Xenopus tropicalis: one gene and its partner. The protein of the gene in region 1 interacts with the protein of each later gene in a biochemical or structural test. Links are inferred from orthologs where the notes say so. Each region holds a gene or a part of one and is shown in the gene's direction. Other genes may lie near its edges.

Region 1 (4,779 bases):
AAAGATGTAAGTACCCAAGGCTGCATCTTGGTTTTATCTTCGGAAATCTTGGGATTTATGATGGCCATTGAAAGCTTGGCAAAAATAAGCTATTTGATTAGTTTTGTAAATATAAATGCTTTGGCAGTAGTGTGAATGCATAAAATGTGTAAATTCAAATAACATAGTACCGTGCAGAGAAATAAACCAGGAGTTTTAAATGGTTTGAGTAAGAAGCAAAGGTGTATTTCTAATAACCTACAGGGATCTGCCATTTCTGTCCCTTGACAGGTTTATGAAGAGGGTAACAGTATCTACCTTGTAACAGAGTTGATGCGAGGTGGGGAACTCCTGGACCGCATTCTAAGGCAAAAATTCTTCTCTGAGAGAGAAGCCAATCTTGTCCTTTTAACCGTTTGCAAGACAGTGGAGTATTTACACTCTCAAGGGGTGAGACTAATTTATGTTTACATCATATATAGGTAATAAGTCAACAACAACATCCAAGTGGTCAGCATTGTGTGGAACTCAGTGAACTCAAAACTTAGACACAAACAATTTAAGGTAGTGACCAGGTTTGCTCGAGTGTTATAACCTACATTATATTTACTGATCTATTAGAGTTTGAATGCAGAATTCTCATTTGTTACTTTAGGTATAATTAGGTGTAATGAAATGCAAATAAGTAAGAATGCTGCAAACCCAGACACTTTGCAGAATGGTATAGTCAGGCCCAGTTATAGGAAGTATGGCCCTTGGCAATGCAGGAAAGCTGGGGAAACCATCCAAGGGGGATGGGAATTAAATGGCAGAAAAGCATAACATCTCATATAATCTTTGTTACAGATGTACTTTATCAAGTTTAGATTGTATACATTGTAACAGTTCTTTTTTTTTTTTTTTTTTTTTTTTCTTTTACAGAATAGGTGGGTTACATAATGCAAATAAAATATTGTAATAATTGTATTTGAAAGACAGCTGTTTGCTTCATTATTTGAAACCCTATTATGGGCTGAAGTTTGGATGACATAGAAAAATCCTCAGCCTTCTGGTTTCCTAATCATCTTTTTAGAAAATAAAAACTATAAATATACGGTTGCTTGCCTAGGACTTTATGATAAGAAGGATGGACTTCATTCATGTTATTTATGGATGAATTAAATCTGTACATTAAGTATACCACACTCAGATTATGATCAGCATATTATTTATCAACTAGAAATACAGATTGTATGCATTCAGTTGTCCTTTATCACATGACAGAAGGGTTCAGAATTGGTTTGGATGAGCAAGAAGGTTTCTTTCTAATAAGGATCTTGTAAAAAGTGTTGAAACTCAACTAAATCTTGAACTGAATCCTGGATTTGGTGCATCCCAGATATTTGGGTAAAATAAAATCTTTCTTAACCACACTTTTTTATTATTTGTTTTGCAGGTAGTTCATAGAGACCTGAAGCCTAGCAATATTCTGTATGTTGATGAATCAGGTAATCCAGAGTCAATCAGGATATGTGACTTTGGATTTGCTAAACAGCTACGAGCAGAGAATGGCTTGCTTATGACTCCATGCTACACAGCCAACTTTGTTGCGCCAGAGGTAATGTTTTATTAGGAAGAAGGTGGTTCTGTGGATTGGTGACTATTTCAAGGGGATATATATCAAACCTATAGCAGGGAAAATTGGTATTGTTGATGGACGAAGACTGAAATCTGCATTTCTTTCTACAGGTATTAAAGCGACAGGGCTATGATGAGGGCTGTGACATCTGGAGCTTAGGCATCCTCGTTTATACTATGCTTGCAGGGTAAGCAATTAGAAATTGTAAAAGTTGATTAATTGTATATTCATTCTCCATTTTGGGCCTTTTTTATGCACAATATGTAATAGTAAGTATATCTTTATTTTATATGTGAAGATGAATGTTTATACATTTGTATTTGTAAAAAATGTGTTATGACTAAATGTAACAAAACTTCTCAGGGTTCATCCTCTCATCCAGGAGGTACTCTATGGCTACTTTCTGTGCAAAGACTATCTGAACCCCAAAATTCAGTGGCCCTAATTTTCTCTAGCCCCTCCTGCAGAACTAGAGAGTGGTCCCATTGCTTCAGGTTGGGTTTTTTTCACCTTTGTGCAGAACTAGGATTTGTATTGGCAAAATTTTAAGTTGTTAGAGGTCTCTTTAATCCAAGCTCATCTGTTATGCAATTGTTTATACATAATATATACGTACAAAAGAACACTAATTTTATGTTTATCATACCATAACAGGAGGTGGTATATAACTATATATTAGATGGCACTTATATTGCAGTGTCACCCACTGTATGTGCAGCACCAAATACCATCCTTCTTGTGTCTCTACATTACCCACCCAGGGACCTCCATCCTCTTGTCTTTTGTCATTTAGCTTTGTGGAATCTTTAATGCAACTGTACTTTTTGTTTATTTGTACTCATTATTGTACACTGTATTTATTTATATCTTATTGTAATGGTCCCTACATGTAAATTATTGTCCTGCTGTAGAGCTTTTTGTACATTTGTAGCGCTATTTAAATAAAATATACATACATACAAACAAGGGAAAACATAAAATAAGGGAAATGCATTATAAGTTTGTGGGATCACAAAAAAAGTAGTATAATGCAGAAAATTTTAAAACTGGAGATGTAAAATTGAGGTATCACTGTAATACAGGTATGGGGGCCTGTTATCCACAATTAACAGGACCTGGGGTTTTCCAGATAAGGAAGCCATTGCTTCATTTGGATCTCCATGCCTTATGTCTGCTAAAAAATAACTTAAACATTAATTTAGCCCAATACAATTGTTTTGCCTCCAATAAGAATTAATTATATCTTAGTTGAATCAACTACAAGGTGTACTTTTCTATTATTACAGAGAAAAAGGAAATCATTTTTAAAAATGCAAATTATTTTATGAAAGTGTAGTCTATGAAAGATGGCCTTTCCATAATTCAGAGTTTTCTAAATAAAGGAATCCGTACCCATATACACATAAGATGTGTATTAAAACTAATCTTGTTAATTTGTGTTTACATAGATACACACCGTTTGCAAATGGACCAGGAGACACCCCTGAAGAGATACTAGCTCGTATTGGTAGTGGGAAGTTTACACTGAGGGGTGGAAACTGGAATACTGTGTCTGACTCAGCAAAGGTAAAAGATGGTAGAGGTGTAGGATAAGTGGTATAATCTTTCATTGTTCCTTGATTCACTTTATTTGAAATGTTCATGCTGGTATGTCATTAAACATACTAATAACCTTATATGCCATATAAGCAAAAAATAAAAAATATTGGCCCCTTTGAAATTGTTAACTTTAATTTCACAAAGAAACTAATAAAATATTAATGGTGGCATGTAAAAAAGTTAGTTTGGACACCCTTTCACTTTTCCAGTGATACAAACAGTTTTTGCATGGACTTATTTCATTAGGCCTTAACAGCCCATAGATATTGTCACCTGGTGAAAATTGCAAAGCTTAATAAAATCTTGAAACCCCAAGTTTGGTGCTGCGACTCAACAACCATGGGCACTTCTAACCAACTGATTGAGGATCTGAAATGTAGAGAATTGATGCCTACAAAGCAGAGGAAGGCTATACAGAGATTGCAAAATGCTTTCATTTCACAATTTGACCTGTCTGTAATGTCACTGAGAAATGTCCATTAAAGGAGAAGGAAAGTCTAAGTCACTTGGGGGTGCCAAAATGTTAGGCACCCCCAAGTGACTTAAATCGCTTACCTTTTACCAGGGCTGTGGAGTCGGTAGATAAATTCTCAGACTCCTATGTTTTTAATATGCTAATGTATTTTAGACATTCATTGAAGGAAAGGAAAGAGATATACATATCATTTAAAGGAACAGTAACACCAAAAAATTCAAGTGTATAAAAGAAATTCCAATATAATGTACTGCTGCCCTGCACTGGTACAACTGGTGTGTTTGCCGCAGAAACACTACTATGGTTTATATAAAGAATGCAGCTATGTAGCCATGGGGGCAGCCATTCAAAGGAGAAAAGGCACAGGCACATAGCAGATAACAGATAAAACACTATTGTATTCTACAGAGCTTATCAGTTATCTGCTATATAACCTGTGCCTTTTTTCCAGCTTGAATGGCTGCCCCCATGGCTACACAGCAGCTTATTATATATAAACTATAGTAGAGTTACTGTAGCAAACACACAACTTTTACCAGTGCAGGGCAACAGTACATTATATTTCATTTATTTTAAAACTCTTTAATTTTTTGGTGTTACTGTTCCTTTAACCACAGAACTACTGGCTAGGAAGCCAACACTCTACTGTATTGCCCAATTAAAGCAAAAAACAAACACAATGAAAACAATAAGGTTTTGTTTATTTTTTTTTTTTTTAAACAAGTGGCTGGATAGTAATAGCTGGCATACTTAATTAGTTATCAGTGAGAGTTAGGCTAGGTTCACAGTGGGCATTGTGTTCCCTGTAACAGAGGAACACGACGCAATGGAGCTGCCGCAACTGTGCGTTACGTCCCATTTAGTGAAGCATACAGTCAATGAAAAGCATGCTTCATGGTCACTCAACGTGTACGATTATGCACTGCGTGCATTGGGCTATATTCTTATAGCAGAGAAGTAATTAATTATGACTGTTTGTTTGTGAATTGGGACATTTAAACTTGCTTTATTTTATTTTTTTTATTCCCATTTAAATTTAGTAGGAGTCTGAGTCGGTTAATTTTTTGCCGACTCCGACTCCAGGTACCCAAAATTGCCTCCGACTCCA
Region 2 (5,533 bases), on another chromosome or scaffold:
TTGATTTTGTATATTTTCTGGCCAGAGTCCCTTTAAGTAGAATTACATAACATACTGAACTACATAATAATGATGTGATTGACATTAGTTTTTATGCTACTTCCAGTGTATGTACACAACCCAGTCCTGGACTCAACTATATCATAGATTGTACATTTGATGTCAGTTTATTTAGATTATGTGTTATACCTTTAGGGTTAAGGAAACTTCATGAGGTCACAGCCAGCAATTTGACCCCTTTTGATCCCTGTAGTGTTTTTTTTTACCTCTGGGCGTTACTTCAACTATGGCAAGCGGTCAGTATGTCAAATGCTTTACAGACTGATGCACTACATTTTGTCAGATGATTCCGATGGAACTGATTATATCCAAATGAGATTATTATTTAATTTATAATCTTTATACATGTATGTATAGCTTTAGTTTCTGTCCTATATGTTTAGCTTTATAGCTTACATTAGCATCAAGCATCACTTTACAAGGCAGGTGGCAACTCTACTCAAGACACATATTAATCTTTTATCTAATGCTCACACTTAAACTGTTTTGTAATATCTGTGGAGTTTCTATTTATTTAACGAACCATATATTCTGACCTAAAGTACAACTGAAGTTAATAAAATATAAATATTGTCCATAATGGACACAATAAAACAAATTAAGGGGTTATTTACCCCTTTTATTCTACAGTATTTCTTATCCACTGTATTTGGACACGTTTGGTTCTTATGTCGACTCTGACATGCCATAGTAAGTGTATGGACACTGATCAGTTTACCACTACTTGAGTAGCTCTCCTGATTTAGTGCATTCCTTCCTAGTGGCTAAGGCTTAGGGTGGCCTGACAAATGACAATAAAATCTTTGATTTTTGGTACATGTATGGAAGCTAACATTTGGCATCCCCCAGTTATTGTAACTTTCATTCTCCTTTAAAAACCTAATCTGCTGATGCACCACGTTTTCCATTGTATGGAAGTGTCTTCACTTTCTGCTGTTCCCGTTGTTCAGCCTCGACAATGTATGAAACTGACTGTAAGCTCTTTTGGGCAGACCCTTTTTACCTCTTGTATCGGTTACCAGTTAATTATTTGTATGTAATCTGTATGTTCAGTGCATACACCCATTTATTGTACAGTCCTGCAAAATATGTTGGTGATGTATAAATATGTGTTAATATTAATAATAGTAATAATAATAACCTTGTATTGCACCTGCAAGCTGATTGGTCACATACTGTACAAGGTCCGGTTGTATATGACTGCCTAAAGGCTATGTATGTAGAGGCACTGACTGTATAATACTTATATTGCCATGACCCTTGGGTACAGAACACAAGTAAAAAGGTTAAACAAATTGTGGTGGTCACTTAAATCTGGGCACCTGTAGCCAATAGCCTTGGATACTCCATGACACTTTCAAGGTGATGAGCCCCTAACAAATCTGTTACTTAGGATAACAGTGACTGGCACACACACTCATGTAAATGCCTCTGTGGACCAGTCACTGATAGCTTGGGGCACTGGGTCAGCACCCTATTTGAATGGGCTAATAGCATCACAAATTAACCCTAAGGATTAAACACTAAGTAATGGATCCAATCTACATACACCTAGGGTCCTGTACAGTAACACTTGTCCCTGAGTCTCATTACATCTTGTCCTACAAGCTGACAATCAAATAAAAGATGGAATAAGCATTTTAAAAATAGGATTTCGTTTCCCCCCTTCAACTGTTGCAGAACTAAAATACCCACAAAGGTTCCTAGTGCGGGTTAAGGGGTTGTGATTGAAACACATCTGGGGGGGCAGCAGCTTTACTGCACCTTTTCATTAGAAATATGTTACATGATGGGGGTAAAATGAAGAGAGAGCCTAAGCAGGGGCCACATAGAGGAGAAACGAGACGCCTCAGGAAGTGAGAGTAGCAAAGAGACTGCCCTTATGAGAGGGGGGAGGAGAGACTGGAGACAGAGGGGGAGGGGAGAGTGTGTGCGGCTGCGAGCAGTACTGGGGAGGAGAGAGTGCTGCTTGGCCGGGCTGTGTGTGTGAGTGCGCTGAGGGTGCGGCTCCCATAGTGGCACAATATACCCTACACTCCGGCTCACCCTTCATGACTCGTACGGGTGTCACTAGGAGGAGCAGTGAATGCAGCGGGACCCCTGTCCCTACACGGCTCTCTCTCTTCCTACACCCCCCTCCCCTTGCCTGTTTATTCCCCTGACCCCCACTCTCTCTCTACTCCCCGAAACGTGGACCTGGAATCCCGTCCCTGGTAAAGAATTGTCCTTTGCTTCTCTCTAATTGGGATGTTTCCAGCCCCCTCCCAGGATTAAGGAACGGTGAAAGCATTGGAGGGAAACGAACTTGAGCTCATTCGGTTTGGAACTTCTACAGCCCCTTTGTGATCCTCTCTCCCGGCCTTCGGGTTTGTTGTTCTCTGGCCATCTCTCTCTCTCTCTGCGGAAAATTCTATACGTTTGTGGGATTATTACACCTTTCTGGATTCTGAGAAGAGAAAAGCTTGTTGGATTTACAATAAACTCAATGCAGGAGGAAGTGGAACATTACACTGAAATATCTAGCAAACTCTAATAAGGTAATGCTATGGCTTTTACAGGGGAGACAGGGGGGGAGAGTTGGATGAGGCTGCTTTGTGTTTTGGCCAAGGACTGGGGGGCTTCAGCAGTAAAACTCAGGGCAAGTTAGCAGGTGGTTGGTTCTGGGCAGAAACATGCTTTAGTCTGGGGCAGAAGGATGCTGCTGGTTTTAAATGGACCGAGATGTTGTCTGATCTCTAAACATCACCACAGTTGATATAAGAAGTTCTCTGCTGCACAAAATGGTCCAGCAGCATGTTGCAGCTGTCTGAGTTGTCGGGCAGACTGCTCTCCCTCTCTGTGCTGCAACCAGATGCTTCTATTGTTGCTGTTGGGGCTGTTTATAAATAAGTGCTGTTTTCCAGGGTGATTATTAGTATATTACAGATGCTATTCAAGTTCTACACGGACATGAAGCATACAAAGAGAAACTGAAATCCGAGAGCTTACAATCTAGAATGCAAATGTCTGATGTCTGGCCTTCCAGCTGTTATTTGAACTTACAGTATTCCTTGCCAGGTCAAGACGGTTGAAGAATATGTTGTCAGCTGATTGGCAAGGTAGAAATCCCTTAGGCCTTACGGTTTTCAGACTTCAGAACCCCCATTCATGTTGAACATTTGGTTGGGGCCCTCCTCCGCTTGTAACTCTGTTACAGATGGCATAGCTCCTTGAGTGTTTGCCACAAAAATCTTACCCTGTTAACCGTCATTCCGGGAATTCTAGGAGTATATAAAAAAGCATATTTCCCCTCTGTAGTCTACCTGCTAAATCACCCCCCCCCAGTTACTGCCTTGTTCAGGCCCACAGTTTCGAAGTCTTGGCTATTTTAGATCAGGGATATAATGTTTGAGCCCCTCCATCCTCGTACTACAGTAGTGTTTGACTGTCATGGTATGCATAATAGTTGGAGGGCCCCAGGTTGGACATGCATGTAAATGATATGTTTCCCATTCAGCTGTTATAAAATTGCAGCTTCTGTCTTCAACAGTGAGTTCCCAGGTTACACACATGTCTGCTATAAACTCAGTTTTACTCTGGTGGTTCTGCTCAGCAGGCCCTGTCTGCATGTAGTGTGGGGGGGGGGTCCACACTGATTGGAGTCGTTGCCTAGCAGTTCTGTAAATGCAACAATGACCAGAACTTGCTTTGCATCTTTACAAGAATTTCTAATGGAGCTCAAGCTCTTTTGCTTAAGTTGACTTTCTACCAATGCAGAAAATGACAAGACTAAGAGAAGTAGAATACAATGTTTGAGCCTGATGGTAAATCAAATAACAGATATTTTATTATTAACTTTACAGCTTTATTAATGTATTAATATTTGTGCCATCTACCTGTCTGTGACTGACCTGGCACATGGGATTTGATCCAGGTATGGGATCCTGGAAACCTGTTACCCAAAAGCTTTAAATTACGGGAAGGCCATCTCCCATAGACTCCATTTTAATCAAATAATTCTAGTTTTTGAAAATGATTTCCTTTTTCTCTGCAATAATAAACCAGTACCCTATTCAGTTTAATGTTTAAATGATTTTTTTAGCAAAATTAACATATGGCAATCCAAATTACAGAAAGACCCCTTATCTGAAAAGTCCAAGGTCCCGAGCATTCTGGATAACCGGTCCCATACCTGTAGTTGAAATGACCTGCAGCTGCTTCTTTAAAATGATTACACTAAAAAGAATACATATTTTAAATAAATAATGCAGAGTGTCCATGTCATGCTCTGTTTTCCTTACCGTTCTATTTGTAGGAAATATTAAATGACACAGTTACGTAAAGCGAAGCTTTGCGAGAATACAAGGCAACGTTTGGTGTGGTTTTACAGCTATAAAAATTGAGTGTTAGTTGGAGGCCTGCTCTTTTCTTTCCTGTGTTACTTCAATGGCCTTCGTTACATTAACCCCACTGCCCAGATCAGGGCCTTGACAAACATTTTAAATAGTTTTAAACTTTACATATTTCTTGCGTGTTTGAAAAAGTTTCCATTAACTTTATCTTCAGAAGGGGTGTGTGTGGGTGTATGAGGTGGGGGGCAGGGCAGATTGCTATGGGATTTCATTTTTTTTCTGCCTTGTTCTTACACACAGTGGAGCTCTTTGTTCATTGGAAGGCATGCAGATCTAAACTGGCTCTCCTAATCGGCCAGCCGAGTGCTCCACTGACAGCAGCACAATACAACTTTTTCAATTTGACTGCAAGGGAAAAATATGCCAATACTTTTATAATTTATTTATTTTATTTTTCTAGGTCAGATCTACTGAATCCTAGAGTTGTGCTTTCTTTTTTTTTTTTTTTGCATACCTGGGCTTCATTGTCAATACTGAAGGGTTGTGAAGTTACTAGTTCAAATGTGACCCCCATGGTTATGATTGTCTACAGTAGTAATAATCTACAGCAGTGATCCCCAACCAGTGGTTCTGGAGCAACATGTTTCTCCCTAACCCTTGGCTGTTGCTCACAGTGGCCACAAAGTAGGTGCTTATTTTGAATTTCTGGCTTGGACGCACATTGTGGTTGCATAAAAATCAGGCTTACTGCCAAACAGAGCCTCCTGTAGACTGACTTCCCAAATAGGGTCTACTAAATAGCCAATTAGAGCCCTTATTTGGCATCCCCATAAGGCTTTTTCATGCTTGTTTTGCTCCCCATCTCTCTTTACATTTCAGTGTGGCTCACAGGAAAAAGAGGTTGGTGGACCCCTGATCAACAGCAACTGCCTGGGCAATAGCTGCATTCAGCTACAAGGCTACCAAATATGAAACTAAATATATTCCTTTACTGCAGCTTCAAAGTACCTTAGCCAGCTCAAAATATTTGTTCAAGTGATTTAATTGAAAATTCTATTCTTTTTTTAATTATTGAAACAATAACCCCCCTATAGCGGCACTTAACCCCACTTTGATTGTTCGCTTTATAATGCATAATGATA

The links.
Region 2: the proteins of rps6ka1 (region 1) and erbin interact in a test that uses a peptide from one of them, tested with the Homo sapiens proteins (2 studies listed by BioGRID and IntAct). The link is inferred for Xenopus tropicalis from reciprocal best matches to the Homo sapiens genes RPS6KA1 and ERBIN.

The regions. Positions count from the first base shown.
Region 1 is NC_030678.2:77,655,378-77,660,156, forward strand, and holds part of rps6ka1 (ribosomal protein S6 kinase alpha-1), read left to right. Parts: coding exon 1-6; intron 7-270; coding exon 271-429; intron 430-1,414; coding exon 1,415-1,576; intron 1,577-1,707; coding exon 1,708-1,784; intron 1,785-3,045; coding exon 3,046-3,163; intron 3,164-4,779. UniProt on the Homo sapiens protein: Serine/threonine-protein kinase that acts downstream of ERK (MAPK1/ERK2 and MAPK3/ERK1) signaling and mediates mitogenic and stress-induced activation of the transcription factors CREB1, ETV1/ER81 and NR4A1/NUR77, regulates translation through RPS6 and EIF4B phosphorylation, and mediates cellular proliferation, survival, and differentiation by modulating mTOR signaling and repressing pro-apoptotic function of BAD and DAPK1.
Region 2 is NC_030677.2:187,602,953-187,608,485, reverse strand, and holds the start of erbin (erbin), read left to right. Parts: upstream 1-1,947; 5' UTR 1,948-2,597; intron 2,598-5,533. UniProt on the Homo sapiens protein: Acts as an adapter for the receptor ERBB2, in epithelia. By binding the unphosphorylated 'Tyr-1248' of receptor ERBB2, it may contribute to stabilize this unphosphorylated state.